Lonchura striata: one gene and its partner. The protein of the gene in region 1 binds, or shares a complex with, the protein of each later gene. Links are inferred from orthologs where the notes say so. Each region holds a gene or a part of one and is shown in the gene's direction. Other genes may lie near its edges. The genes, in order: guanine nucleotide-binding protein G(q) subunit alpha and F2RL1.

Evidence for each region.
Region 2: the proteins of guanine nucleotide-binding protein G(q) subunit alpha (region 1) and F2RL1 are in contact, whole or in part, in a cryo-EM structure (PDB 9D0A), measured with the Homo sapiens proteins. The link is inferred for Lonchura striata from reciprocal best matches to the Homo sapiens genes GNAQ and F2RL1. Residues at the interface, in NP_002063.2 of Homo sapiens: Arg37, Ile323, Tyr325, Asp346, Ile348, Leu349, Gln350, Asn352, Leu353, Glu355, Tyr356, Asn357, Leu358, Val359; in NP_005233.4 of Homo sapiens: His108, Pro109, Ala110, Met114, Gln172, Arg173, Val176, Ile177, Pro180, Met181, Gly182, His183, Ser184, Arg185, Met265, Met268, Leu269, Met274, Asp275, Asn277, Lys280, Lys281, Arg284, Ala285, Leu288, Ile289, Tyr344, Tyr345, Val347, Ser348.

The regions. Positions count from the first base shown.
Region 1 is NC_134642.1:24,300,217-24,315,538, reverse strand, and holds the start of guanine nucleotide-binding protein G(q) subunit alpha, read left to right. Parts: upstream 1-9,572; 5' UTR 9,573-9,987; coding exon 9,988-10,123; intron 10,124-15,322.
Region 2 is NC_134642.1:13,372,279-13,387,448, reverse strand, and holds F2RL1 (proteinase-activated receptor 2), read left to right. Parts: upstream 1-8,855; 5' UTR 8,856-8,894; coding exon 8,895-8,964; intron 8,965-12,505; coding exon 12,506-13,608; 3' UTR 13,609-14,384; downstream 14,385-15,170. UniProt on the Homo sapiens protein: Receptor for trypsin and trypsin-like enzymes coupled to G proteins.

The DNA.
Region 1 (15,322 bases):
TTCTCTTGATCACAAAATCAATTAGATTAATCAATCACCCATGTTACAGAATTTCTGAGAGACAGAGGTCATGATTTATGTTTGGAATGAGATTTGAGCTACCCAGTCAGACTAGGCCTGATAATTGGCCTTGATGGGGCCTCTGAAGCCTTTGATGCAGTGAGAATTCAGGGTAACTACAAAGTAATCAGCTATCCGAGCATGAATTAGAGTAGAGCTGCAGTGTGAAAAGTTTGACCATCTTAAGGCAAAGGTAAACAATGTTAATGTGCCAATCAGAGTGCCTTTGCAACCTGTAAACTCTGTAGAACTGTATATAAACCACCATCTTATCTCGAATAGAGGGAGAACGTTTGATTAACCACATTGGTTCAGACCTGAGTTTGTCCTGTCCAGCTTCCCATTCTTCTGAGATTCCCTGGCTTTTCACCCGAGATTATCAAATCCAACCTGTCATGACACAAAGTGCCCCATCTAGTCTTCTCTTAAACATCTCAATGGATGGATGACTTCACAGCCTCTCCAGGCAGCTTGATCCAGTGCTTAACAGCTCTTTCTGTGAAGAAGCTCTTCCTAATGTCCAGCCTGAATCTCCCTTGGTGCATACTTCAGATTGTCCCCTCATCCTAGTTGCCGGGTAGAAGGGGTTGACCTCACTTGGCTACAGCTTCCTTTCAGGTAGTTTTAGGAAGTGATAAGGTCACCCCGAGTCTCCTTTTCTCCAGGCTAAGCAACACCAGATCCCTCAGCTGCTCCTCAAATGAATTACCTCTAGACTCTTCACCAGCTTCATTGCCCTTCTCTAGACAATATAGGGAACAGAAAAATTGTGAATGATCTGAGGTTAAAAACAAATGTCTTCATGAATCTTGGATTGCTGTCTCTCTAATGAGACCGCAAAGCGGCATCAAAAATCAATTTCTCGTGAACTATCACAAAGGTGCAATATGATATATGATCCTTGAAAAGAGTACAGGTAGATTTGGGGTCCTTGCAGAAGACATTAAACCTGAGGAGCTGGTGATCTTGAAAAGGCCACATTTCTCCTATTGGAACTTGCACTTTATAATGCCATGTTATTAATATGATTTGTAAATTACAACATATATTTGGGAAAGCTAAAATGTATAGGGATCAAGGGATGGAATGCATTGGTCCTGACTGGGAGACAGCTGTACACTGCAATTAATATGGGTAGCCCCTGCTCAGCACTGCCATGATATATCCTCCATGGACTTGCCCTCAAAAAACCTGTTTTCTTGTAAGGAAGTTAAAGATGACCTCAAATGATTGAAAGGATGAGTTTCTTTCCCCTGGCAGGATGTGCTCTGTGCAGTGTGCCATGGGAAAATCCATTGGGGCACTGTTCAATGCTGCATGGAGTGCCCATCACCTGAGGAAACATAAGATGCTACTATCTGTACCCCTCTTCTTCATCTGTCTTTTTGAATTACCCAGATTAAGCCAATTGTTGTTGGGTCTTTCTCGCTGAAATCTAGAAAGACCCCTGCGCCAGCTCACTTTCACTTCACCCCACACCTCCATGTGGAACAGATGGTATTTGGTGTTACCAGGCCAAAGAAATAGAGGTTTGCTTAACTGCTTTTTGGAAATCATAATGGTAAAAAAAAAAGATTATTTCATTAGAAGAATTTTGAACTCCATAGGGAAATTCAAGGAAAAGTACCAATAAATGTATGATACATTAGAGAGAATTTTGACTTTTTTTTTTTTGCTACAATACTACCACCTTAATGTCACCTGTAAAGAGACTAGCAGAGACTCTTTATGAGAATGGGTGTAACAAGACTTGAAATAATTAGCACATTAATGTTTTTCAGTTATTAAAATAATGAAAGCACAGAACTCCAAAAAAAGCTCAGCCTTTGTGCAAAGACTTTTTTTCTGGAAAAAAAAAATCTTATTTAACAAAGAAATACTAATAAACAGATAAAAAGTGCTTTGATCATGAGCACTGATGATGAACTCAGAAACTATATTATATACACAAATCTGGACATTATGAGATTAAACACTTTTGGTGAAAAGTATTTGTAATGTCAATCAGTACATAGCTCAGAATTTTAATTCTTAAAGTACTCTTTGTAACTTGCAATAGTAATAATGTAAAGGGACTAAAAAACTAGATTTACAAGTAGCAATTTATTGTAAATTTCAGTGGGAGTTCCTAAATCACTTACCTGAATAAATATCAGCTTTTTGAAAGCTATCTGGAAAAGTAAATATGAATATGCCAATATTTAGTAAGTTTTATGATCCACCAATTTCATGTGAAGAGAGCAAGATTAAGTGTATGCATACTCAAACACTAAATCATATCTTCACATAGAAAACTTGGAAAACTATTGTATGTGAAGGTATATATTCTCATGTACATTATGCTATGAATGCCAAAATCTTTGAGAGAACTAACAACTTAAAAAACACCTTAAACATCCTGGTTCTCTCAACTGTTAATAGCACATTACCAGAAACTTAAAGTGGTACTTCTGTATTGTTTAATTTCTCTTCTATCTGACTGATATTTTATCCATCAAAACAAAATTCAGGTTTTCCATCCTTTTGGATAGAAACAACAGTAGGGGGAGCTCAAAGCTTTTTTTCTTCCCTGTAAATCTCAGACTTACAACTGATTTTTTAGCAGAAGCAGGTATTAATGACAAGTTTCCCCTCATAAATAAAAGAGGTTTGGCTATCCAATATAATTCAAAATGCAGCTGTTTCTCTCAGTATCCAAACTAAAATTTAACCACTGGTTCTTCTTAAAATTTCCTAGTCTCTTCAAAGTTTCAGTTCTGTTAAACACTCTTTATTTTGGAGTTAAAAAAAAAAAAACCACTTTTGCTTCTTTCAATCTTCTTAATATATAACAATCAAAACAAAACCAAAATTAGAGAGGATTTTTATTTAGGTTCCCTGTAAGGCAATGCAAATCCACAATTCAAAATACAATCAGATTAGGAAGCAGTTCCATAGAAATATGGTACACTTACAGCCCGCCACGCAATTATACCCATACCAGGATAATACATGGATTTTACCCAAATCTGTATATTTAAACAATCTTAGCACGCTATCCAATTCTCTATATATGCCCAAATCAGAATTTTCTAAGTGTTGAAAAGTCTCTTTTCTCTGTCTCTTAGGACAAACGAAAAAAATGCTATCCTTTTCCCTACTAATGAATTTCCGTAATTCCCTTAAATATTATAATAGATTCACCAATCTTCCTTAAGAGTACAATCTAAATGCCATGTTAACTGCGGGGTAGTTTGACTAATAACAGCAATCACTGCACTGCTACTATTAGCTGTGCATCTCAGGCATAAGAGTTTTTCCTATTTCTGCCCAAATTCAAGTTTATATATCATCCCATACTTATTGAAGAAACATACTATCTGGCTATCTGGGGTTATAGTTATATAAACTGAGGTTATAGGTATAACTAAAGTTATGCAACTGTAATTATAGTTATAAAATGAGGCTTACAACTCAACCCACATTTTTACTTCAGTACGTAACTTGAGTGCCTTGATTCCTGCTCGATATTTCCTAAAGTATTAAATGGAAGCCAATTATTTTGCTATCTTCCAACTCAATTTTCTCCACTACTTTAAATACTTCTGTGGAAATACTACTTTAGTCAGTATTTGTGATGGCTTTGCATAAGACTTAATGAGGACCATTTTTTCTAATAGATTTTCATATAGAGAAAGAAAGATACTTCCCTTATTACTGTACTTCCACTCAGAGGAAAACACTGATCACCTGCTGTCTTAAGATCCTTCTCTGCATTCACTTTAAAACCATAAATACTTGAAACAGTCTCATGATGAGCTTCTGCTATAATGTTTTAAAATTATATATATCAATAAAAATAATTTATTTGCTCATCTGAAAACACAACTGACTAGGTCATAACTTTATGTCACTTATCCCTCACACATTTACTTATGATTTCTATTAGAAGATTTAGTAGTAATGTGCAAAATACATTGATGCTCCTATTAATACAAGACATGAAGCACATATAAAGTACAGAATTCATTCCTAAACCTTCTAAATTCTTGCATTTAATTTGTATATAAATTGCATATTGAAAAAATAGTTTTATGAACTACTATTACATGCAAATGGATATTTATTTTCTGTTCATCTTCACTAGAAAAAGTTTTTCACTTTACATACTAAACTTTGGTGCAAGATTGTAGAAAGCATTGAAGAATGCTTTGATTTTGGATTAGTCTTCCATTTTAAAATTATGGGCAATGAGATAGCTGTCTGTGGTCCTTCTAGTGACATACTTTGGATTGCAAGAAAATAACCTCTGCTAATGCAATCTTTGGATGATGGAAAGATTTACAAATAATACTTTTCCATGAAATACCAAAAGAATTACCTCTGTCTGGGTGATGTGTACCTCTTGCCTCTGTCCTGTGACAGTGAGAACTAAAATGGGAATGAGGGCTGATCAGTTTATGCTTTCTAATGGTTAGACTGTTTCTGAAATAGCCACTGAAAAAACTGGAGGAGTCACACAATTACAATGCTTATGCTAAATATCTTAAAGGAAGCTCATGATCTGACACTACTGTGTATGATACTGAAAAACAGTGCAATTCCATTGAAAATGATGGAGTTACTATGCTATGAAACTTATATGAAATCAGAATTAGGAAGCACATATCCAAGAATAGACTGTAAGGTAAGAATAAAAGCTAGAATAGAATGTTTGAAGTTTTAGATAAATAATCTAAACATACAATACCATTAACCTAGCAGAGCATAAGAAGTCCTACTGATGGCAAATGAACTAGACATTATACAAAGTCTCTCTAGGTTAATAAATTGGTGTGATTATATGTATGAATAACTTACTTTGGACTTGCACAAAAATAAGAAATCCATGAAGAATAAAAGCCACCTTGTCAAATATTCTATAAACTGAAAGAAAAATGTGCTTGAATGTGATGAACATAATAAATACACATAAAAGGTATTTTGATAGAAACAATAGTATTTCTACGATGACAAAATATTAATTTATAATTCATGTCACAGAGGGGGAAGACTAGTATCCCCCATAGTATATCCTAGCCTGAACACTTAATCACAGGTTTTGCTGAAACTTTTGGGAGATTTTAACCTATATAACTAATAAAAATAATCAGAGAAACAGCTGGTGCCGATACTGAAGACTTAAGTATTCCTTTTCAGTGAGTGGCCATATTACTGTAGTATCAGCTCATACTCTACCAATTTATTAATGTAATTTGTGTCATGTGGCTAGGTCAAGCGTGGTGAGATTTTTTGCTTTGTTTTGGGTTTTTGTTTTTTTTTCAGGGTTGAAATTTATGATCCTGTTCCAGCAGACTTGTGCAGAACAATAGAGAAACAACTGGCTCATGCAGGTGATACAGCAGCTTATTCCCACAGAAGTGGTGGTCTGGATCACACTGTGCCTACTAGACGTTTTCCACAAACAGGATTGAAGAATCAGCTGAGACTTTGTGAAAGACAATACAAATCCTTAAACAGCAAACTCTGGGAAAATACCCAGTCAAGCAAGCAAGAAAGCAACCAACAAACCCTAACAACCAAAAAAATTCCCACCCAACACAATACACCAGGATTCAGTTCTGCCCACAGTTAAGGTGCCAAATCATGCGGCTGCTAGCCTGTCCTGCTGGAGCAGGCAGCGGCCGTGCAGGCAGGCGAGGAGTGGTGTGGGCAGGATGCTGGCTCCTGGTGCAGCGCACTCAGCCGGGGTGCGCGTCCTGCACCGCGCTGCGCTCGGGGACTGCCACACGCGCTTCTCTGCACAACACCCCTCTTCTAGTGCCGGGGCAAAAGAATGTTAAGAGATGCGTCTGAAGAACAAAAGTGTTTCAAAAAATAAAAAAAGCTTTTTCAGATACAGGTCTTCCATAAGAACCCTGACATACAAACACACAGAAGGGAAGAAGTTTCCAAAATTCCAGAAAAATCAGATGAGAAAACAGCGGGTTAACTCTTCCCTAGTCATTGGTCTGTACCTTAGCACCTTGGCAGACACTTTTTGCTTTGAAATAAGGAACACTGAGAAACATTCAGAAGATAATTTGTCAAAACACACTGGAACAAATGGATATCTGCTGAAGGAAATTGCTGGATGTTATTCATTTAACAGCAGAAAACAGCAGATACATTTTATTTGGGTTTTTCCCCCTTTAAAAAACCCCAAAACCAACCAAACAAAAAAAAAAAAACCCAAAAAAACCTCCCAGAAACTCAACCAAACAAAAAAAACACACAAAAACAACAACAGCAACAACAACAAAAAACTCCAACCCAAACAAAACCAGCAAAGAAAAACCTGATTAGGAGGGCATACTGGAAGGGTAATTTGCTCAACTCAGACATACTGACAGCCTCTAAATTTACTAGAAACATTCACAAACAAGACTGGGATGTACTTCTGCATAGCACTGTGCAAATATCTTCTTAATGAACAATGGCAACGAAAAAGCACTCACAAATTATGAAAATCCTATGATGTTGCTATACACAATCTTCTAGTATACTGTCATGTGAGTACCAAGTTCAGATACCATTTGGAACCTGTCAAAACATCACAGAAAACCTTTCTTAGGCAGAAAAGACGGAAAAAAGAGACAATAAATATCTTTAGGCATATGGAAGGAAGAAATTGAAAACTAAGATAGCTTAGTGCAAAGAATGCTATGGACATGATTAAACATAGTGGTAGTTTCCAAATCTTTACTGTTTTATGAGTAAGAATACCAAGGATGCAAGTATATCTTTTCTCCCTCTGACAGTCTCACTTTTAATTTCCTGTGGCAGTAAGCAACATCAAAACATCTCACAAGCAATGGGTTGCTATGAGCCATGCACTAGAGACTACTTGGATAGAGGAATATGAGATTAGTGCTACGGGAGGCTTATCAGGAAGTATCTGTCCAGGATTAGATAACAGCATGGATAGTATCTATGGATAATAATTACCTGCATACGCAATAAAGATTTCTGTTATTTACTGATAGTTGTTATTAGGATAAAATATTTATAAAGGATGTTTCACATTTCAAAACAAAAGCCAATCATTATGGAATTGAGGTCTGGAAAGAAATCTCCTCATAGGTTTATTATCATGTAATTATCCATAATGGGGTTCTTCTGACTTTCACTAAGTCATGAAGCAAATGAGTAAAACAGTGTATAATGACTATCTGTTGATGCCATATTCAGGACTAGATGGCTCATCCATTAAAAATATGAAGATATTTATTCTGTAAATATTTGAAATCCAGTTATATCAATAAAAGTGGTACATGCAGATTACAGTTATGGTCTGTGGCATGTCTTGTCTTATTAAAAATGCAAAATTAAATGCAGTTCTACATTTGAGGTATACACTGTGTTCATGCCTTTTATACTGAGCATATAAAACAGGTAAGAAAGTTTAGTCCAACTTCTTCTACTGTAGACAATTACAGTTTTTATTAGAACAGTGTGCCCTCAGTTTTGGAGAAGATATTGATTCAGTTTACCTAAAGATTGAAAACTCATTGACCTGTTCCTAATATTTTTTCAAGATGTGATTCCTGGAGATGATTGCTGTGGATTTGGGCACAATGTACAAAATATCCAACAAGAATTTCTTGTGAGCTTTACCATACTCACCTTCACTCTTTTGGACTCTGGCATTTAGAAGAAAAAACCCTGATATCTCAAAAACCCTGATAATTGTTTCCTTGAAGTAACCTCCCCCTCTTTTTCTGTTACTCGTTGTCTCTGTAATTCACTGCTGGCACTTTAGAAATCTAAATTGCATGTAATATTAATACATCTGGGACCAGTACACAATACAGGTGAATACATAGATACACTTCTATACCTACAGGTTTTAAAAGAGAGAATATGCTTTGAGTGAAATATAGTCTATTCTTAGTAGCTTAATCTACCCAATTTTGACTAAAAGTCATTGACTGGAATGAAGTAAAAAGATTCCAAGTTGTATAAATCATTTTTACACACTATTCATACCAGTACAATATAGATCTACATGAAAATCATGCAATTTTTAATAAGTAATTTTTTATGCTCTAAAAAATTGGTTGTATTATTTTCCTGGTTGTTTTTATTATCTTTATATGTTTATTTTTAATTCCCTCATTGTCTTGCTCTTTATAGCAGACCTTACTTAAATAATTTTATCAGTACATATGGAAGCTTTTAGGAAAGCGCATATAAATTTCGAAACAGATGTCAGCAGGTGCTGGTGAGGTTTCAGATATGGAGCTAAAAGAGTGATGTGCCTTTCTACCCACTATCTAGGCTAGGTACCAGATTCACAACCGATTTGGCAACATTCCTAGATACAAGTAGTTTAAAATGGAGGTGGCCAAAGGAAGTGCAGGTGTGGGAATTCTGTGAGGAGTTTATGAATTCACAAAAACTAGAAGGTGTATGAGTGCATTCTGCTCGATTGTATGCCATCACCCCGAGAGCTACCGAAAGCTACACGGGGATGCTTTCCAGAAATCGGGCCTAAGGCAGGGGCCGGGGCGAGGAGCGAATAGAACTCACCGCAGCCGAGTATCGGCCACGCCGGTGGCGTTCCGTGGGGTGTCCCAGCGCGTTCGTGCCGAACGCACGGCTTTGCCTTCCCAGCAAGAAGTCAGGGCGCTAAACCTTCCGGGTGCCTGACGGTGTGCGCGTATCCCGCTCTGCCTTCCCATTCCGGCCAAAGGTGGAAAAGGCATTTTCGGCTCCTTACTCCTTCCTTCCTTTCAGCCGGCCACATTTTCCGCCAGACCCTGCCAACCCAATTCATCTCTTCTAGGATGGGAACCGAATAAAAATGTGTGCCCACGTCTAAAAACAAAGGAAGCGAAAGCAAACAAGGCGTTAGGGAAAGCGCTGCCCGTCAGGACAAGCCGGAGCAGGCACAGCTCCTCGCAGCCATTTGGAGTGGGAATCCGTTCGGTCTCTTCCCGCACTCCTCCTCCGCCCTCGGCCGCCGCAGGGCGGGCGGCGCGGCCCTGGGGGCGGCACAGCGCGGGCGGGGATCGGCCGCCCCGGCCGCTCGCCCCCGCCGCGCGGCGGGGCGGAGAGAGAGCGGGAGCGGCGGCGGGAGCCGCGCCGCCATATTCCTGCCGCACCACGCCCGCGGAGCCCGACCATTTAAAAGCCGGTCGGGCTCGACCCCTGCTAGTGCACTCGTTTCCCTTTCCGTTGCTCTGTCGGCAACGCGAGCAGGGCCGAACCGAGCGGAGCCGAACAGCGGCAGCTCTCCGACAGCGAGCTCCGCTTTCCCTCACCACCACCACGCCCGCCTCCTTCTTGGAAGGGCGAGCGGCCGAGGCGGCGGGAAGGAGGAGCGGCCGCGGGAAAGCTCTTCCTGCCGGGTAGCGGCGATCTCGCCACCCCGCAGGAGCCGGGCTCCCGCTCTGGGGGCGGGGAGCGGCGGAGAGATGTGTGCGTGTGCGGGGCGGGGGAGGGATTAGTGGGCATTAACGCTTCCACGGGGGTGGGGTGGTCGCGTCGGAGGGCGGCGGGGGTGTCGGCGGCCGCCAGGGACACTCGGGGACCGCGCAGGCTGCGGGCGGCGGCGAGGGAAGGGAAGCAGCGGGACGAGGGACGGCTCGCCTGGGTAGCGCTGCTGCTGCCGCCGCGGTGGATGTTTCCATGTTGTTCGGTGCATGATTTAGAGGAGAGGAGGAGTTGGCAGCGGCGGGTGTCAGCGGCAGGGAGCGGGGATCCGCGCCGCCAGCGGCCCTGCCTTTCTTCTTGCCCTTCTGTGGCATCGAGGCTGCTCTGCCTGCGCGCCTGCCCTGCGGCGGCCCCCGGGCTCTCGGAGAGCGCCTGTGCCCCCCGGGGCCGGAGCGGCGGCGGGGTGCGTGTGTGCGAGTGTGCGTGCGGGTTTAGGGGGGGTGGGGGCTGTGTCTGAACCAGTTAGGAAGAATGACTCTGGAGTCCATCATGGCGTGCTGCCTGAGCGAGGAAGCCAAGGAAGCCCGGCGGATCAACGACGAGATCGAGAGGCAGCTGCGTCGGGACAAGCGGGACGCCCGCCGCGAGCTGAAGCTGCTGCTGCTGGGTGAGTGCGGGGCTTCCTCCTCCCGCCTGGAGCCGCTCGCCTCGGGCCGCTCGCCTCGGACCGCGCACGCCCCAGGTGCCGCCGGCCGCTGCCCGGGCATCGCCGCCGGCGCGGTCCGTGCCGGCGCAGGTATCCGGCGGCGGGCACGGGCGGCGGCAGTGCCTGCGCTGCCGCGGGCGCTCGGCGCTGCCGCGGGCGCTCGGCGCTGCCGCGGGCGCTCGGCGCCCCCGCCGCGGGGAGCCGCAGGCCGAGCTCCGCCGCGGGGAACGGGGCGTGTGTGCCCGCCTGCGGGCATCGCCGGCGGGGGCGTTCGGTGTGAAACGGGAAGCGGCCTTCCAAAATGGAGAGGGAATGGATGGCGGGTGAGTGAGCGGGCTGCGGGGAGAGGGGCAAATGTCGATGTGTGTGGGAGAGCGATGGTAGCGAAGCGGATTAAGGAAAGGATTCCCAGGGGGAGTCGCTGTGCAGGTCGATGGTGGCGGGTGTGATATCTGCATTGTTCCGTGGGCTTCGGCAAGGTTGTTAGCTCACCGGTTGCATTTCTCATTGTGATTTTTATTTATTGAGGTAAAGTTGGATAAGGGGCTTGGGGTCAGCTTGCATACCGGTTTCTACAAAGGGAAGGGAGCCGCAAAGGCCCAGATGCACATGGCAAGCTGAGGGGTAACCTGAAGTGTGCTGGATGATTACAGGATCTTTAATACCCTTGGCATCCACCCACTGGTCAGGGAATAAAATCAACTGTATCGTTTCTCCTTAATTAAAGCAGAGGTTGCTATTTTAGAGTTGCAGAATATTTTAGAAATATGCAGAGGTGGCATTTATCTAATAGAAATTTGGCTTATGTTAAAATAAGGCTTTCGAATTAAAATCTGCTTGACTGTGTCCAGTCTGATGCACTGTGTCGCGTAGCTCCGTGGTAATAGTTCCTGCCTGGACTCAGGCCTTTATGTATTTTTGTGCTACTCTCTGATGTGTGAATGAGTGAGTATGTTCCAAATGGATGTGGGATGTTTACAGGGAAGATGTTTTTCTTGGGCCATGTATATGGAAGTAGTGGTTTATACTGAGGAAGTAAAGTGCCTATTCAATAAGGTAAGGCAAGTTGGAAGGAAAAGTTTGAATTCGTTTTAGTGCTTCCATATGAATATGCTATTTCTTGAAGGTTATTTCCTTGTAGACAAGGTTGGGATCTCTAACGGATCTGGGAGAGAAGTAGTGACATGGATGCAGCACTCAACAATAATAATGTTCTTTTGGATTTTTGACTGATTTTGGTTTATGGCAGTGTGATCTCTGAGATGCACAAAGAAGATAAAATAGACTGCCCTTGCTTAATATTATGGATGTCTAAGTATGATTAATGATAGACACTTGCTTCGGGAGAGGCAGTTCATACATTTGACATGTTATTCAGGTCCAGATTTTTTCTGTATGTTCTCGGTATCTCTTACAGTAGTGCTAGAAGCTTCTCCCAGATTTTCAGAAATGTATGAAATTCACTGAATGAGACCAATATATATTACCTAGAGAAGAAATTTTTCCTAGAGAAGAGATTCTGCAGTTAGGAACACGGAACTTGAGCTGCTTTGCAAGGTCCTCCCACCACTAACATGAAGTATTGAGGTAGATGGTGGTAGACTGGAGTCCAGTTATGGCATCACTTTGGACCAGATAATGTGTGGTGATTTGAAGAAGAACAGGAGAGAAACCAACCCATAGAAAAGATTAGGAAAAACTCTTGAGTTCATCAATGCCAGCTAAGACTTCCAGCAGGCTTGTGAAAGTGGAGGCATGATGTAGAGATCTGGAGGTGTGAACTTTTGGCTGCATGTATTTAAGAGCACATCCATACACCTGGTTAATAAAACCAGTACAGAAATTGTTACTGTGCATGCATTTTTTCTGACTAATGTTTTCTCAGCCTCTGTCATATATTTGACTGAAAGAAATAGTATGCGCACATTTGGATTAACATAATGATCTTGTCTTGAGAAATGCAGTGTGTAGTGAAAGACTCTTGGTGTCTTGGTATTTTGTAGACTTAAGTTTCAATTTCTAAAAGAAATTTATGGGAACTTCTTTCATAAGTGGATTTATCTTAAGTACCTTAGAACACTTTTTTTTTAGCCACTTTCATTGTTTCCCTAGCATAAGTAAATGCTCAGTTATTTGTAAAACGAATGCTAAGTTGTTTGTATGGGTCATTTACATGGTTATGAGACAGAGGAAACCATTTTCGAATGAAATATTCATCAAAAATAGTGAGGCTGGTAGCAGGAAAACGATCTGATTTAAAATAATCTGATTTTTTTAATATTAAATAAATGTTTACTGTCCCATTTCATCTCTTTCCCCCTCAGCTTTGGGGAGAAAATCACTTGTGCTGGTTTTTTTAATGTAAACATAAGTGAACATCTTTGGTTTTTTTTCTTTTTTTTTTTTTTTCTTTTCTGGAAGTGCCAATTTTGCAGTCCCACTCTCTCAAGTGTTATAGGTCTGAAAAACCTAAGCGTGTTAAGATTTTTAAATACAGGACTAAGGAATATCCTTTGACTTTTAAAGAATATTAGTGTAGTGTAAGCTGAGCCTCGTTAAGTGGCTATGCATGTTCTTCAGACTAGTTGCAAGTGCAAAGTGAAAGGTATTATTAACCTTTAAAGGCACAAACAAGCATATCTATGTTAGGTTGTTTTATTATTACGCTTGCTTAAAAATTAGATATACACACATAAAAATGCATACGGGTAGCAAACATAACGAAAAAATTAATCTTTTGCTTCAGAGGAAAAGGATTTTTTTCCCTCCTTAACTTGTGAAAGACATAGTACCTTCTTGGAAACAGGTTTCTCTGAACTGCTACTGTGTCACACACAGATGCCTGCACACATACACAAAAACACGCACACTGTTTAATGTGCTCATGGTATCTTTTTACTTTTCATGAAATCAAAGAGTTCAAAGTCGGAGGTAATTTGTGCAAAACTTTCACTGTGTGCTAAGATTATTTTTAGGTATTAGTTTAAAAATAAACACTGATTAAACATTAAAATAATGCTTTTAGGTACTTTTTTGTACATCATTATTTGATTTTTTAAAACATATTAGAACAGGACAAAATAATTTTTCCAATTGCAATTGGAATGCGCACTGAAGCATATTGCATAGTAGTAGTTTCAGCTAGCACAACTTGTCTGTAGTCTTTTGAGACACTTTGGAACTAATTCAGTCTTCCACTGAATTTAGTTTTAATCTGTACTTTAACTCTTCTGGATGTCATTATTGATGAACACTTTGTAAAACCGTGATTGTTCTCCAGAGCTTAGAGTTGTTAATATCCGTTGTTTACTCTTAGCTGTAAAAACACATTGTTTTTATAATTAAGGGAGAAAATGAAGAGGTGTACTAATGTTTTATTTTGGCCTATGCCAATGTGTTCTGCATGCTTTTATTTTATACATTTATATACATATTTATTTTAAAGTAGTAAGAGCTATATACTTGCATATGTATTTTTTGTCATGCTTCCATGTGTAATTTTTTCCTGCCATCCATGTAGCTTTTCCAGGGACTCAGAAAGCAGCATTTGAACCTGCATGACAGACAGGTTGTAGTCATAAACCATCAGTCCTGGACATAGTCTGCCTGTAGACTGTATACATTAATATTGTACACTATTTTCTCTTTGGGAAATGCCTTGAGTATCTAAGAAAATAATCTGCAGGTGTTGTGCTAGCTATGCCTATGTGTCTGTAAACTCTGGCAGATTAGGTACTGGAGATATGTGTGACAGTGCTATTTTTTTTTTTTTTTTTGCAGCATATTGGTTGGTATTGTGTCATGTGCAAAGCATTTTTTTAAGACTTAGGTACTTCTTAGGTACTTAAGATAGTGAATGTGTCAGTGAAGAGACTTGCCTTGATACAAGTGTCCTTCTATTCTCTGTGCTGTAGCACAGAAACTAGATGGATGATAAGCCATTTGAATTGGCGTGAACAGCAGTCAATCTTATGCCAAAAGATGCTTTTGGACATAGTAATATGTATTATTTCTTAAAGCTGTGTTAGCCGAATTAGATGTTGAACATGCGGAACTTGGTGTGTTCACAGAGGTGGGCTTTGTGTAGATACTTTGAAGAGTAAATGGGTCCCTTAAGCCAACAGTGGCAGACTCTTGTTTCATGTAACTTCTTCAGCTGGAGAAACAAGCTTTCTTATTTTTCTTGTAGCTTGTATTTTTATCAGTCTGTCCTACTCACGCTGAACTCTTTCAAATAATTTAGGTAATTGACACAGTAGATGTTTATAAATAATTTACTTACCTCTTAATACATATTGTAGCTAGATAGGCAAATATCTCTTATTTAGCAGAAGCTGTTTCTAAGGAAATAAAATTTCATTCTGAAGGTTCAGTACCTTGATGTATTCTCATATACACAGATATGTCCATATATAAGAGCATTTTTTTTTGTTGAGGAGGAAAACACAAATCATCATTTGGATATCAGTGTGATAATGTGAAGAACATATATTTAGAAAATATTTAAGATCATTCCTTTTTGGTGCACCACAAAAAGATACCTTGTATGCAGCCATTAAAAAGGGTTTGTTGCTCTTTTGTATTTACTACTCAATAAGTGATCTACACCCACCAAAGTTAATAGGAACTAGCAGATGATCTGAACAGTTAAAGAATTCAGACTAATTTAGTTTTATTTACATTTCAAAGAGCCAAGTGGCCCCTAATTTTTATGTTACACTGGCAAACAATGTTGAATGAAAAAATTGTTGTAGGATGAAAAAATATATGCTGAGCAGAGAAATCTTTGGAGTATGGGCATTTAAGTGTGTACTGCAAAATGAAGAAATACTAATTCTCCTCCTTTAGTTGTTTCAAATTAATTGTGTTGTTGTATGGTAACAGCAAATTCATAGGGGAAAGCACTGCCTTGCAATCTCTGAAAAACAAATCACAGAGGTGTGAAATAAAGTAAGGTAGAGGTCAAATTAATGGTGATCAGCTTTGTTGCAGGAATAGAGTGCTACAAGCACAATATCTTTTCCTTCAGTTGAATGGTAGAGGACTGAAGAAAATCTAGTCTTGTAGACAAATGTAGCTATGTATGAACAGCTGTTACTGATGAAATTATGGAAGTTTTTCAGTATTCACCTTTTATTTACTGTAATTATCAAACCTGGC
Region 2 (15,170 bases), about 11 Mb from region 1:
CTATTGGTATAAAACTACAATAGTCCCTGCCAAAACACACAATGCCAGAACAATAATTTCTTCTACTTGCCTTTTTTGAACTCTAACATCATGCATCCTTTAAATATCATAAACCAGGACTGTTGTCATGTGAACTGCCTGACCACTCATTGCCCTTGGACTTTTAAACCACATATCTGAAACACTGTCTCTTTTACATCAACACAGGCATCAACCAGACTGGAGAACTAATGCTGTTACAATTCTGCTTCTCTATGGATAAGTATGCCATGATTCTTAGGTAGTTACTCTGGCCTATGGGCCAACCCAAAGGGATGATATGGGATAGATAGTACAAGTCAATTTGCATTGTGAAAAAAAAAAAAACCTATGGCTTTTCAAGTATTTTTCTTTTCCCCCATCCTCTACCAGATGCCAGTTGCAATATTTCACTATTGTGATGACTAGAAATATTACAATTGTTCATATCTTATTTAGATCACTGATAAATTAGAAATGAATGTACATAATATGGATATGCTGACATACCAACTAAATAAGCAGGTCATCTTCATGATCAGAGGTTAATAAATGCATGATTCTGTTACAATTTTCACAAATGATTAGGAGATGTGGCCAAAATGTTGTATTTCATACATGCAACTTAAAGGGCAATTCAAACTAGCAGCTATCCTAAACTTCCAAAGGCTGCAGAATAAAAATGGGGAAATAACCAGATACAGTACAAACCTTAGACTCATTCCATTTTAGAACATGATATTGTGATTGAATAAATCATATTTTCCTAAAAGTTACGACTTTTAATTTATTACAAGTATCAAATTTCAAGGATGAGTAAGAGACGGGTCCTAAAAATGGAAAGTTGACCTAGCAACTACATAGAGAAAAACTGTTTAGAGTAGGAGAGTTTTCAGATTTAGGAATTTTGTCCTAAAGCCCTCCTTTATTTTACAATGTTAATTTTTACATCAGTTAGCCCCATCATGAATGAATGTCACATGTTAATCTGTCCAACTGAACTAGGATCTTGTCACAGAGATCTTCCCATGAAGCTCTCAGAATTAATTTCTATTTTGCTCTTTGAAAGTACCATTTGGAATCTAAAAAGACTAGACAGATCCCAGCATTAGCAAGTGCTTAATCAGTGTGCAAAGGATTTCATTTTTGCCATTAAATGGATGCTGACTCTTGGCATTCATTCACAACTGAGAACAGCATTACTGCTTGGGCAAACTCTAAGTTCAAGGAATCATCAACAATTCTCAGAGTTCATCAATCCCCACAGCTGTCTCATGACTTATCTACACTGTGATAATTACATATTGTCAACAAAACTGAGGCAATTGAAACCAACATCATCTGAAACTGACACGTGCAGAAAGCACTGACCAAATCACAGCTCACATTGTATTTGCTGTTCACTTCAGCAGTAAAGCACCACCTGCCTTTTATTGACTATGGCTTAGATTAAAGCAAGTTTACCATTTTAACTTTGTGTAGGTTTCATGAGACTCTTCTGAGGAAGACTGTTCTTCCTTTCACAAAACTTCTCAGCCTATCCCTGCTTCTCCACATACATTTTTCTTCTCTGTGGATTTGCTGGAGATTTATTTAAATGCTGCACAGTATGTTTTAGTTCTGGCAAGCAGATAAAGGGGTCTTGAGAGGGAAAGACAAAAAAGCATCACCAAGTCATTACTCATAAATCACCACTTTTTCCCTTGATTTGTGAATTTCTTTTCCACAGGCATCCCCTACAGATGAGTCAGAAGGAGTCAAAAATACTGAGAACTGTGATGTGAGGAGTAGTAAGAGGGGCAGCAGAACAACACTCAAAAATATACTTCCAGTAAAATGAGAAATATTAAATGGCTGGTGGAAGTAGATGCATGAGGTACCGCTCTTTGAAGGTCACCAGGTTCAATGTCACTCTCTTCATGCTCTTTATCTCAGACTCAAAAGGCAATTATTCCCAGCATTCACCAAACATTGTGGTTTGCGATTGGCATTTTACCCACACCTGTGGTCTAGCTCTTCAAAGTAGGTACAAATCCCATGGGGCTCCTCAGAGGTCTACTGCTACTCTGAAATCTAGTTGGTGGTGGTTTTCCTCGGTGCTCCACCTGGTGCTTCTCCCTCTGGGCTCCTAGTCTTTACTTTGATTAGGAAAACTGATGTCATCTGTGTGGTGGGGAAGCAAGAATACAGGGGGGCTGAACAAGTTTCTCTCCCAAATGGTAAAGATAGATTCCGCCTTGTTGCCTGACTCACAATTGCTCAGTAATGATCTGAAATGTTCCTAGCCAGAATCAGATTATCAGATTAGACAGGATCTTGAAAGCATTTTTTTTTTTTTTAACAGAAGTGCATGTCTGTGAAACCACCAAGGGTGAATCACAAGGTAGAACATGACACCAAATCTTACTGTATTCAGATTCTAAACAAAAAGTAAGACCACTGAGGTCAGTACAATAAAGGACTGGGATTTGATTCAGCTAGAAACATTGCTGTAGAGTCACTAATGATTGTGCTGGAGGCATTACTTCTGTGCTCAAGGCATCACCTAATTCTCCTGTCAAGATGAACTAGACATACCTACATCATTCTTGTTTGTCTAAACTTTAAAAGTGCCAATGATGGATGTCCTACAGATTCTCTAGAAAATGTGCACTCAGGAAAACTGGTGCTGATTGTTAAAACATTTTTCCTAATATCTAGCTCTGCCAAAACTTTAGTCGACTCAGTGAACATTGAAAATATACTGCAGCCCTGGACATATTTTAGGTATGTCATCAAGTCTCTCCAAATCTTCTTTAGACTAAACAAAGTGTTTAGAACACAAACGTTCTTCAGGTTTTCCAGTTATTTACAACATCTCTGGACTTTAGGTTTTCTTTAGGGAAGATTTTGATGGAGTAAAGAATATCCAACAAATAATACATTGGTGCTCAATGGAACAGCAAACAAACTACATAGAAATATGTTACATACAACAACTTCTTTGATGCACAACATTGTGGGAACACAGTATGTTTGTGATTCACTATGTAATGATTCATATTACCTGAAGAGGCATTGTTATTTTATACACTCCACCCTGTATTCCTTCCAGCATAGAGGTACAAACAAGACAAGAATTGTAATAAACCCATACTGAAAATAAATTTCAATTCCCTTCAAGACAATTTTACAAACTCAGCCTAAACTAGTGGCTGTACTGCTGAGTTTTGAGCAATCTGCACATCCTTTTCTCTGTATTCTATCTATACAGAGAGAGTTCTTGCCCAGTTTTCAATAGCAGCAGGATCAGAACTAGCTAAATAGTGGTGTTTCAAGTGTATATATACATATAAGTAGAGGTGCAAGTACAAGATCTGTGGTTTCATGAGCACATTCCATGAAGTGAACCATAGAAAGACTGAGTATGAGGTCATAACTAAATCCCTTTCAAAAATCATATGCACAATAATGATGAATTAAAATTGAACAGAATGCCAAATGAGAGCATCTCCTAACTTTCAATTGCTTGATTTTAATACCTTAACATGCTTTTTTCATGTAGCTGCAAGGACACTTGAAGATAGATGTACCTCATGCTAAACAACTGTCAACAGCAGTACAGAAGCCCTGCTTTACATTCTGCTGAGACCAAACTGTTTCACTAAATTCAACACACAAGTCTTCTATCACTGCAAGTTATGGTGAACAGGAGCCACCTCTTTACTTCTCTGTCAGCATGAAGCCTGGTTTGGGCCATCTATGTTTCTACCCCTCAGGCACTGAGAATACCTAACATTTTAATCTACAACTTTAACCACATTTCTTTGTTATACCTCCAGCCCCAACCCTGGATCTTGCTTTTGAAGAAAGTGAAAATACACACAGAATTAAAAGCCAAAGACAGAAACAAACACAGGATGCTGCTGGCAGAAGGTCAGGAAAGGCAAATCAGGATGATACCCAGTAACCATTAAGAGATCACCTAAAATAGCCAATACTACCTAGATGTTCTGCCAACACAGTAACCCCAAAAATGCCATAAATTACTAAGCCAACTACACTGGCACCTCACATAGTAACAACATAATAACATATCAGCACAATAGACTTATATTGTGCTTATATATTTTTTACATGGTCAGAATTTCAAAAAATCTGCAAGAATCTTGGGGTAGATGGGGTAAGTGAGGGAATGGAACAGACTTCTTAAACACAGAATGAAATAAAATGGACTCTTGCTCACAGAGAAATGGAAAATATACAGCTGCTGCCCATAATTTCTTGTTCCCTAGGCTCCTTGCTGGACACACATAGAGCAAGGGCATTAGTGACAACCCTCATGTAGTACCTAACAGGTCTGCCAGCAAGGCCAACCAAGCAGGAAATAGAGACCTGTTCAAAGGCTCAGGAAAATAATCAAGAGAGACCACTTAAAATGGCACAGAGGGTTTTAAGAATGAGATACAGAAGGAGGAACTGTAAAAAACTACTTGATGTTGAAATGAGTCATCAAAAATGCTTATTATATCCACAGTCCTGGTCTTCCATTACTAAAGCAGAGTCTTACTGTAACTTAGTACCCAGGTACTCATCTAAGTTTCCAAGAAGACAGGTGGCTAGCCTGAGGGCAGGCTAAAGCACTGAGAGGTAATACATCAGCTCTTTTGAATCAAAATCACATTAGTTTTTAAAATTAAATTCTTCACATTGTTTCATTTGACCCAAACTTTACCCTCCCTCTGAGAATACTTGCACTGGCCAGATTCCTTGAAGGATATTTTAAGTGTTGTGCCAACCCTACAAGACGTATTGATATTTAAAGTTAGGGTATTTTTATTCCTTTTCCCTTCCTAAACCAAGTCCTTTTTTCCCCTTAAAAAAAGAAAAAAAAATCCATATATTTGTGTCAGATACAAGCAACTATCCCTTACCTTCTCCCGCAACAGACATGCCATATAATTAAAATAAGCCACACACTAAAAGCATATTTGCCATCTGAATTCAGAAATTCCCATGGAGCAAAAAAGTACACACACAAACTCTACATAATAAAAATGCTCCCACATGTTTATTCTAGTACACACTTCATGAGTACTGACAAGTGCCTTGCAATGAAACCACGTTCATTGCTCAATTACTAAAGGGGTAATAATTATCTTTGACAGTAACGTATCTTCATGGTTACATGACATTGCCATGATGTTAAAATTTTCAAGGCCCAAGGAGTATATCAGAGAAGGTCCCCTTTGGAGCCCCTGTGCTAGACTGTGTTAAAAACATACTCACCAGCTACTCAAAGTGGAAGGGAGGGTATATTTCCAGTAATGGCCTTTGTCCCAGGGTGCACAAGACTCTTATGACAACATCTCCAAACAAACATTGACAGAGCAGAGAATTATGAGCTGCTGTTCACTTATCTTTTGTCAGCTTTGGGTATGCTTTGATAAGCAATGATGTGCAAGGTCAAAGCTCCCTTCAAGCCACTGTATTAAAGATTATTTCCCCCAACTCATTACAATATAACATAGGAGTATATGTATTTTTTATATTTATATATACATGTATATGTATTATATATATATGTGTACACAGACACACACAGATATATATATATGTAACAGAAAAAGAAAAGTACATAGAAAACCAAGAAAATTGAGAAACCAATTTATAACAGAGAATGAAGATTTCATAAGCCTCTACAATCACATAGTTACTTTTCCTGTGGCAGTTGTATTTAGGTCAATTATTATCCAATGATAAACAAGTGTGAACAAGAAGATAGTTGCTTTGTGTTTATTATAAATTATTAATTTTCTTTCCAAACTATCAAATAGTTTGGAAAGAAAAATAGACATTGCTAGGACTGCAAATAGGTTTGACAAATCAGCTGTCTTCAATAAAGGCATGTTTTGACATGCTCTGTTGAGAAGTCCAAGTAATTTGAGCAGGAGTAAGACAATTTCTAGTTTCTATTAAATATTATTTAAGTTAGGAGAAAGAACTAATTTATAGACTATATGTGGAGAATCTTTGTAACAAATATTATGCCTTCAAAAGTGTAAACTGGGAATTCTAATTTTTCAATTGAGCAGAACAAAATCAGAACAAAAGCCTGGTTGGCACTGCATGGTCAAAGCACCAGGAGCTGCTTACAAGTGCCAAAAACCATTAATTTGCTAGAGACTCATAGAGTAATTGGTGTTGGAAGAAATCTTTAATGACCATCTAGTACAATGCCATTCCATGGGCAGGGACACCTTTTATAAGACCAGATTGCTCAAAGCCCCATTCAACCTGGCCTTGAACTCTTCCAGAAATGTCCTGTCCACAATGTCTCTTGGCAGCCTATTCTGCTGTTCCACCACTCTTGCAGTAAGGAAACTCTCTCCTTACCTAAATCTACTTTATTTTTTGCTAAATATGTTAGCCCTTGTTCTATCACTACAGGTAAAATGTTTCTCCCCACCTTTCCCAAAAGCCCACTCTATATAAGGCTGCAATAAGGTCTCTCTTATAAGACAGGTTGATAGAATTCTCTGATATTAAAGTCATCTGGCATTCCCTCTTATAAGCTCCATTTTTAATTGTTTGAGAATCTAATGATTTTATATTAAATTATATAAAATTTCAAAGGAAATTATCTTCCCATCAATTACATGTTTCTGAACCTCTACAATAAAGTAGATGCATTACAAACCTATGCTGGTATAATTTCCTTACACTCACCTGGAGCAAAGTCCAGAGCTGCATTTCCAGAAGATGCACTTGCAGTGACACGTGCTTCTACACATAGCCACAGAGCTTCTCCAGTTGTAGCTCTGGTCTGTCATGGGACAGCCAGGACCAGATTTTACTTAGCAACAGCAATAAATACTTTTCCCATGTGTGCTTATTTCCTTCCACTATTGCTGGATCCAAGCAAAAGTGAGAAGGAGCTTTCTGCTTTGAATGTAAAGGGGACAAAACAATGGACTGGATGGAATAAATCAAGAGAGAACTAAGAATGAAAACTGTAACAGGGAACTGGCAGGAGAGCACTGGCTACATCAGAACAGGATGAAAGACTGACCACTCCTTAGTAATGGAGATCTGAGAGGAAAAACTCTGGAGACTAGTAAAGGGAGGCTAAATATAGATCCAAATGAGAAGACTACAGCTCATGGTACAAGGTGATTAAAAGCAGGATTAAATGTCTATGAAGTGGTTTATAATGGTAAACAAAATAGTACTGAAAGTGAGAAAGGGAGGGACACTGGAGGGATGGGCTATGACTTTCCCAGTGTTTAGCTAGAAGGCTGGGACTTAGATGAGAAATCTGTAAATTGTGTGGATGACAAACAGGAACTGTGCTTTAAGCATGCAGTAACTTATTACAAAGACTCAAAAACAAGAGACCCTTAATCTCAATTCTGACACCCAAAACTTCCCAGTGCCATTTACCTTCATCTCTCTGTACTCACAGACAACTGTATCTCGTGAGCATCACAGAAAGACAAAACCAAAAAAATTTATTCTCTTTCAGAACCACGTAAAACAGAGTATATTCATATAAATATAATGCTCATTCAAAAAAAGGGAAAAGAAGGCAATTTTATTATTGCTTGAACACAGAGCATTTTGCAGAATAAGGTAGAGAGATAATTTCTGTCTGCAGCTGTGAACCAGGGTTGAACACATGGTTTTAATTCTGGAATTCGGTAAGCTGTGTGCTTTATCTGATGACAATGAAAACATTCAAAATTTGTATCTGTGCAGATAAACAGAAAATACTGATGACATTACTTTGTGCTTAATTTTGTTCCTGAAATCCCTTTTTGCAAAACCAAAGGGAAGTTGGTGTATTCTAAGCTTAAGCAAAGCTGCCAAGTGAAAACGTCTTACTTAAACTTTCTTAGTGGGTCATGCCAGCAGAGTACCACAAATGCATGTAGGTTAAACAGTCATTACACATTTTTCTGCCCATCTGTCATATGACACATGTAACCCATATATGATGCATATGGGCCCAGTACTGTTTAATGTGCTCATCCATGACTTTGATGAAGGGCCTCTTCAGAGAGTCTGCTGACACCACAAGGCTGAGAGTGTCTGATACCCACAGTGCCCATGACAGACTGGACTTCATCAATGTCTTTAGTGATCTGAAGGGAGGCTGCCAGGAAGATGGACCGGGCTTTTCACAGTTGTGCCAAGCAATAGGGTAACAGGCAGAAACTGATGCACAGAACTTCTCTACTGTGAGGGTGACAGAGCACTGAACAGACTGACCAGAAAAGGTGTGAATACTTCTCCAGAAGTATTCAAAAGCTGACTGGACGGGACAAAATCCTGAGTAATGCACTCCAGAGGCCCCTACCTGGGCAGGGAGGCTAGATCAGATGACTTTCTGTGACCTCTTCCAACCTGACCTAAGACTGCACGATTCTGTGATTCTGTAATGCTATGTAACACGGAAGGGTAAACACCAGGAAAGCACAACACGGCTGTGTTGTGCTCGCACTAAACGCTGCGGGGTCCCGCCGGTGTGCCCCAGGACAACCGCACCGGGCGGTCAGGGCCGCGAGCAGCGCGGTGCCCGTGAGCAGGGCGAGGGCCGGCACCGGCGGAGCCGCTCCGCCCGCAGCGGCCGCGCGGCTGCCAGGCGCGGCCCGAGGGCGGCCGACAGCCGGCGGGCTGCGGCCGGCCCGCCATCTTGCGCCGGGGGAGCGGAGCCCGCAGCGAGCGGCTCCCACCATTTCGGGCACCGCGCCCGCCGCCCTGAGGGCAGGGCCCGGCCTGGGCCCGCCCCCGGGGCTGGCCCTGGGCCCGGCTGCGCCCCGCGCCCCGCCCCGCTCAGGTATCAGGTGAAACTGGTGGTGAGCGCGGCCGGAGCGGCGGCGGCCGGGCGCGGTGAGATGGTTGCGCGCCGTGGGTTGTGCCTGCTGCTGTGGTGTGCGCTGCTGGGAGCTGCCGCCGCTGCTGGAGGTGAGCGGAGCAGCGGGGCCGGCGGGGCAGGTGTCCGGCCCGGCTGGGGTTCGGGGAGCACGGAGTGGTCGGGGCGGGGTTCCGCGGAGCCGAAAAACTCGTGCGGGTGGCAGTGCGGCTGCCGGCACCGTGGGCAGGGCTCCGCGGCCGCGAGGGAAAGCTCTTCACGGCGAGCAGCCCCCTCAGGGCTCGTGGGACGCGTGGGGCTTGGCTTCACCCGCCTGGAACAGAATCGTGGAGCGGGCTGGCTTGGAAGGGACCGCAAAGCTCGTGTCTGATTCCACCCCTCTCCCCCTGACACGGGCAGGGAGGACCAGGTTACTTAGAGCCCTGTGTAGCCTGGCCGTGGACGCTGCCACGGACGGGGCATCCGCGGCTTCTCTGGGCAGCCAGTTCCAGCGCCTCACCGCCTTCACATAAAGAGTTTCTTCCTACTGGCTAGTCTAAATCTACTCTATTTCCATTTAAAACCATTCCATCTGGTCTTTAAACTAAGTGGCCTTGTAAAACGCCCCTCTCCAACTTTCTTGTAGTCTCCTTCCTGCCTCCCCTTGCGATAAGCATGAAAAAAAAAATTTAAAGACCATGTTCTTGATTTTTTTTTTCCCTAATCTAAAAAGCTAGGATTCTTTTTAAATTTTTAGTCTGTGCTATTGCTTGTTGAATATAAGTGAAGTTTGAGGAAAAAAACCTAAACAGTCATTCATATTAATACTTCACTGCCTGAAGTTAATTTTTCACCACATTTTATAATAAACCTCATTGCCATATCTGTGCATACCTTTTCACTGTGTCCTTGCATATTTCATTTACCAGGCTTATTTACCTAATAAAATCATACGCGTAAAGATTGTGTAAATATTGAAGCTAAGTATAGGATATACGTTGTATACGTATTGAAGCCAAACATACGTCATATTTTCTCAAGGGATCGATGCTAGGTAGCTGCAAATTATGTTCTTCAGACCAGAGTTCCTGAAATTAAGCTGCCATTTAATAGCCTAATTGTCTGGCCTGGACGGAGTGAGGAGTTTGGAATTCTCGGGGACAAGGGAGGTTACAGATCAAAAAAACAGGATAATCTTAAATTTAGTCCTGTTGGGAGTATTACTGCCATGAGTAAACTAGTTAATTTTGGCATAATCCGTGCTGCTGTCACTTTTGTGTCTGCAGGGTAGGCATAATCCTGTGTTTGGTATGTAGTGGGTTATATCTTCTGGACAAATGGCAAAGGTATTGAAACAGTCTTTTGTGGGAGGAGAGAATAAACTTTTCCCGTGGGCAGATTAGCAAGTCAACAGCATTCTCTGTATGTGAGTCAAGCAGGGTGAAACTGGTCTTGGAAAAGAGCCCGATTGTTATGGAAAACGGCAAGTGGTGAATGAGTAAGGAAAGGATGTAGAAATGCACATTCCTAACAAAGGATCGGTTGCTCCGTGAGGGAGTGTTAACTGCAGGGAAACAGGACGCTGTCTCCTTATATGTATAGGTTTCTAGTTGGACTGAAAAAAGCTGCCCAGTATATTTTGAGGCTCGAATTAAAGTCAGCATAAGAACAAGACTTGGTCTGTGAAATCACTGTGTCTTACAAAGTAGAATAAAACAAACCTTTGTCCCTGTTCTGACACTCTAGCAATACAAAGTCCTGTCTGTGGTTCAGGTATCTGTGCATGCACTTCAGTGTACCTCTTACTGTAGTGTCTCATACTAACATTTTAGGACTTTTTGATGAGGCTTTTTTTTTCTACCTAACCTCTGAACTTCAATTGCAAATCATTGTTTTATATCTGATCACAAACCTTTAGTAATAACAAAGTGGTAGTATTTATTCTTCTAGTTCTCCACAATAATTTGAGTCTTAGGAATGGAGTGAAAATAGCATGACTACTATTTGATAATATCGACCACTTTCTGATGGACAGATGCTTAACATATGGTGCATTTTATTACTGTATCCTGATCACTGCTGTCAATAGTCTATAGGATCTGCTTCCAAGCATCTCCATGATCTTTCTCAGCTAAGCTGTGAGCCTAAGAAATCAGCAGTTTTCTTGCACCTTGGTTTCCCAGTGAAGGCTGCCTGGACCTGGAGATTTTTAAGTGCTCAAGTGAATCTAAGTTAACTTAATTCAAAACTCTGAAGACTGTCAATATTTTTGTATGCATTTTCAGAAAGTTGCAGATTCTAGACAGAAATCTAATGCTGTACATCAGACTTTTGCAGTTATAAGTTGAAAAGAGCAGCTATCTAAACTGGGCTGCTTCGAGGAATCTGTACTGAGAAAAGCACACTTGTGTATTTACATATTTCTTGTGTAAGAATTCTTTAAAATTTAAGGTGGAAGCATTTTTTCATTTGGAACTGTATTAATTATATTTTAATAAAGGGATGGGCCATGCTTCAGCATTGTTCATGGCTGCTCACTGTTCAGGTACTCAAAAAGACTCTTTTTATGTTACAATTGGGAGGCTTTGGCTACATAAATCCACAAATATTGATATTAAGCTTAGAAACTATCCTCCCTAAACCAGGCAGCCACCATGTCCATACAGTTTAGCTGGATGTCTGTAGGTGAATGTCTGACTTTTCGGAATGGTGTGCATTCCAGGACATTGCTTGTGCAATTTAGCCTGTTAGCAGAGGAGGACTGTGTTGTGAGTGCAGGGATCATGAACTGGGCTGTTCAAAGTCTGTCCTACAGGACTCGAGTTAGGAGCACCTGCCTCACCCATATGGTTTGTAAGCTCCCACAGTATTTGTAGAGGCAGAGCAAGGCTTGTAGTATGGAGCAGCCTTAGCTGTCGGCTCTACCACCTGATACTTCGAGTAGAAACCACAGAGAGCAACTCTCCTGAAGGATGTCTCAGATGAGGACTGTATTGCCACTTCATGCACAGAGTTAGTCTGTTCAAATTTCTGTTCAGATACACCGTAACATGTGGCATGCCCTGGAGATTATTTGTGCATGGCTTTAGACATGGCATCTCACTTTCAGTTTTGGCTTTACTGAATGTTCTCTTTTTACTTGTATGTTCTCTTTTTACTTGTATGTTCTCTTTTTACTACATACCTGATTTTTGGGCCATCTAAACTGGCAAAGCTTCTACTGCAATTAAATTAGCCTGCTGTGAAGTTCTCTGTGACCCAGCACTCAGATCTGGCACTGCTGTGTGAAAATGGTGCCCTGGGGTGTAGTTGAAGCAGTTTCTACTGTAACTGTTCAGGTGGTAGGAGCACCCAACAGCCCATTTTTAAAATGCACTTTTAACAAGGCATTTTTAATATCTCTGGTGACATGGAGAAGTGTTTTTGTTTCTGGTAGAATCCTTGATTTCTTGAAGGGATAAAGGCTGTCTTTTGGATAATAAATTTAAAAGAAAGGGAAGATAAATCAAGTGTTTGAACATCAGTCTTAATCTTCTGGTTGATCAGGCTCTCTGTAAATGTTCAGAGGAAATTGCTGTATCTAGTTTATTTTTTAAAAGGGCAAAAAGTCTGTACTTCAACAACAGTAACAACTTTTTTTTTTTTTTTTTTTAGAGAATGATGGCTCCAGCAAACCAAAAGGAAGAAGTTTCATTGGCTATAAGGCTCAAAATGCAAATAATTCTGAAGAGTTATACGAGGTGGATGAATTTGTAGCAGAAGTCCTCACAGGAAAGCTGACTACAGTTTTCATTCCCATTGTTTATATCTTTGTCTTTATAATTGGTTTGCCAAGCAATGCCATGGCCCTCTGGGTCTTTTTTTTCCGAACAAAGAAGAAACATCCGGCTGTGATTTATATGGTTAACTTGGCACTGGCAGACCTTCTTTTTGTTGTCTGGTTCCCACTGAAGATTTCATACCATCTAAATGGCAATAACTGGCTATTTGGTGAAGGTCTCTGCAAAGTATTTGTTGCGTTTTTCTATGGAAACATGTATTGTTCCATCCTCTTCATGACATGTCTCAGTGTACAACGGTATTGGGTAGTAGTGAACCCCATAGTGCATTCAAAAAAAAAATCAGAAATTGCTTTGGGCATCTCCATTGCTATCTGGATACTGATTGTGTTGGGCACCATACCATTGTATCTTGTTAATCAGACAGCATATATTTCAAATCTTAACATCACAACCTGCCATGATGTGTTACCTGAAAATGTTTCAGCCCATGATATGTTCAGTTATTTCCTCTCACTTGCAATTGGACTCTTCTTAATCCCAGCTATCATCACTGCTGTTGCATACATTCTAATGATTAAGACCCTGAGTGCTTCCATCATAGATGTAAGCACTGGGAAGAAACGAAAAAGAGCAGTCAAACTCATTATTGTTGTCCTGTCCATGTATCTCATCTGTTTTACACCTAGCAATGTGCTGATTATTGTGCACTATTCACTCCTCAAAGCCTACAGCCAGAGCCATCTGTATGTGTGGTACATAACTGCACTGTGTCTTTCCATTTTGAATAGTTGTGTTGATCCATTCATCTATTATTATATTTCAAAAGACTTCAGAGACAACCTTAAATATGCTCTTCTTTGCCAAAGTGTGCGAACTACACAGAGGATGCAAGTGTCTCTCTCATCAAGCAGGTACCCCAAGAAATCGAGTTCTTATTCTTCAAACTCAAGTAGGACCAATAAATCAACCTACTGAGTTAAATCTTAGAAAAATGAACTTTTGTTATTACTGATGGAAGGATGTGAGTGACAATAGACTTATTTTGTACAAGAGATTCTGAAGAAACACCTCTGCATTTTAATTACATTGAAGTCTGGAATTTGGAACTGACATTTGCTCTGTGTAGAAATGATAAGCAAATAAATATTCCTGAGAAACTGGGGGGAAAAAAAGAAGACATTTCAGATGCTGTGCAAAAATGCTGCTGACCTAGAAGTGAGGCTGAAGACATTCTTGTTGAATATAAAAGTTGCTAAAAAGAAAAATGTCTCTGGAATCTTATGCAGTATTGTTAGCATTTTTAATTACCATAAAAATCTGTTTTTTTTAACTGCAACTGTAATGTTTTAAGCATCTGAACAGATTGTGTGTATAGGACCTTGCTCTGTCTACCTGCTTTCACTGAACATCATTTGAAGCTGTAGAGAGACGTAGAGGAGAATCCATTTCGCCATCTTGGATTAGACTGCTTATTCTCTTTGACATAATATATGTAATGTTTTCCAAGTTACTGTGCTGTAAATACTAACATAGCAAAAACCTATAATGTTATCCTGTTCAAGTTAACAAGCTGATCTTATCAGCTAGCGCTGGGATAAAAAAATTGAGATTATCCACTGTTACTTAACATTTGCCAGTACATGATCTCATATGGGGATATACAACAAAGTGTTGATGGATAGCTATTTGATTTTATAAAATGTGCCTTGTATTTTTTAAGACAACTAAATAAGATTTTTTTATATAACACATTTGAGTTGAGTGCTTTCTTTTGTTCTTTTATATGCACTTCAAAAGTAGTTCAACTTGACTTCAAGTTCAGCTTGCCTGACTTCACTTAACAAAGATGATACTCCTTACAGTTAATTATGAGCATGACAATTGTAGCTGTAATGTCTAAATAGTAGAGCAAAATTTACATAATGACACATTTGTTTGGAGACCAATGAAAGTAGGGTGTTTTATGATCGTATTTCAGAGGACCAAGCTAAAATAGCAATATATGTTAACATGTGTCTCATTAAGGAGTGGAGAGTTTACTCCACTGAGTTTTCTCTTCCTGTTTCTTGACAAATGCAGGAAAATAATTATATATTTATTACTGAACTGAAGGTGTTAGCACCCTTACTGGGAAATGAATGTACATAAGAGGCCACAGTTCACTGGAAGAATTTGAAATTGAGAGAGTTATACTGTCTTCACAAAAGGCTGTCTGAACTCGTTCTGTAGCCTGTTCCCTTTATCTTGCTAAGCAGTATGCTTCCTGCTCTATATGCAGTAGTGAGTAATATGAAGAAAGGGCATCCAGTTCATGTATTTACAGACTTACCTGTGTTCTGTCATGAGTACAAAGGTTGTATGTTGTAAAGATGATAAATTGTCAGCGTGTGTCTATAATACCACAAAGAGACTGCTCATGATTCACAGATGACTGCTAAATGTCTAAAATATTACATGCTTAATATAGCCTGTCTTTTGGGGAAACAAGATTTATTTCTTATCATTATTTAATCAGAAGTGCACTAAGCACTGTTTGT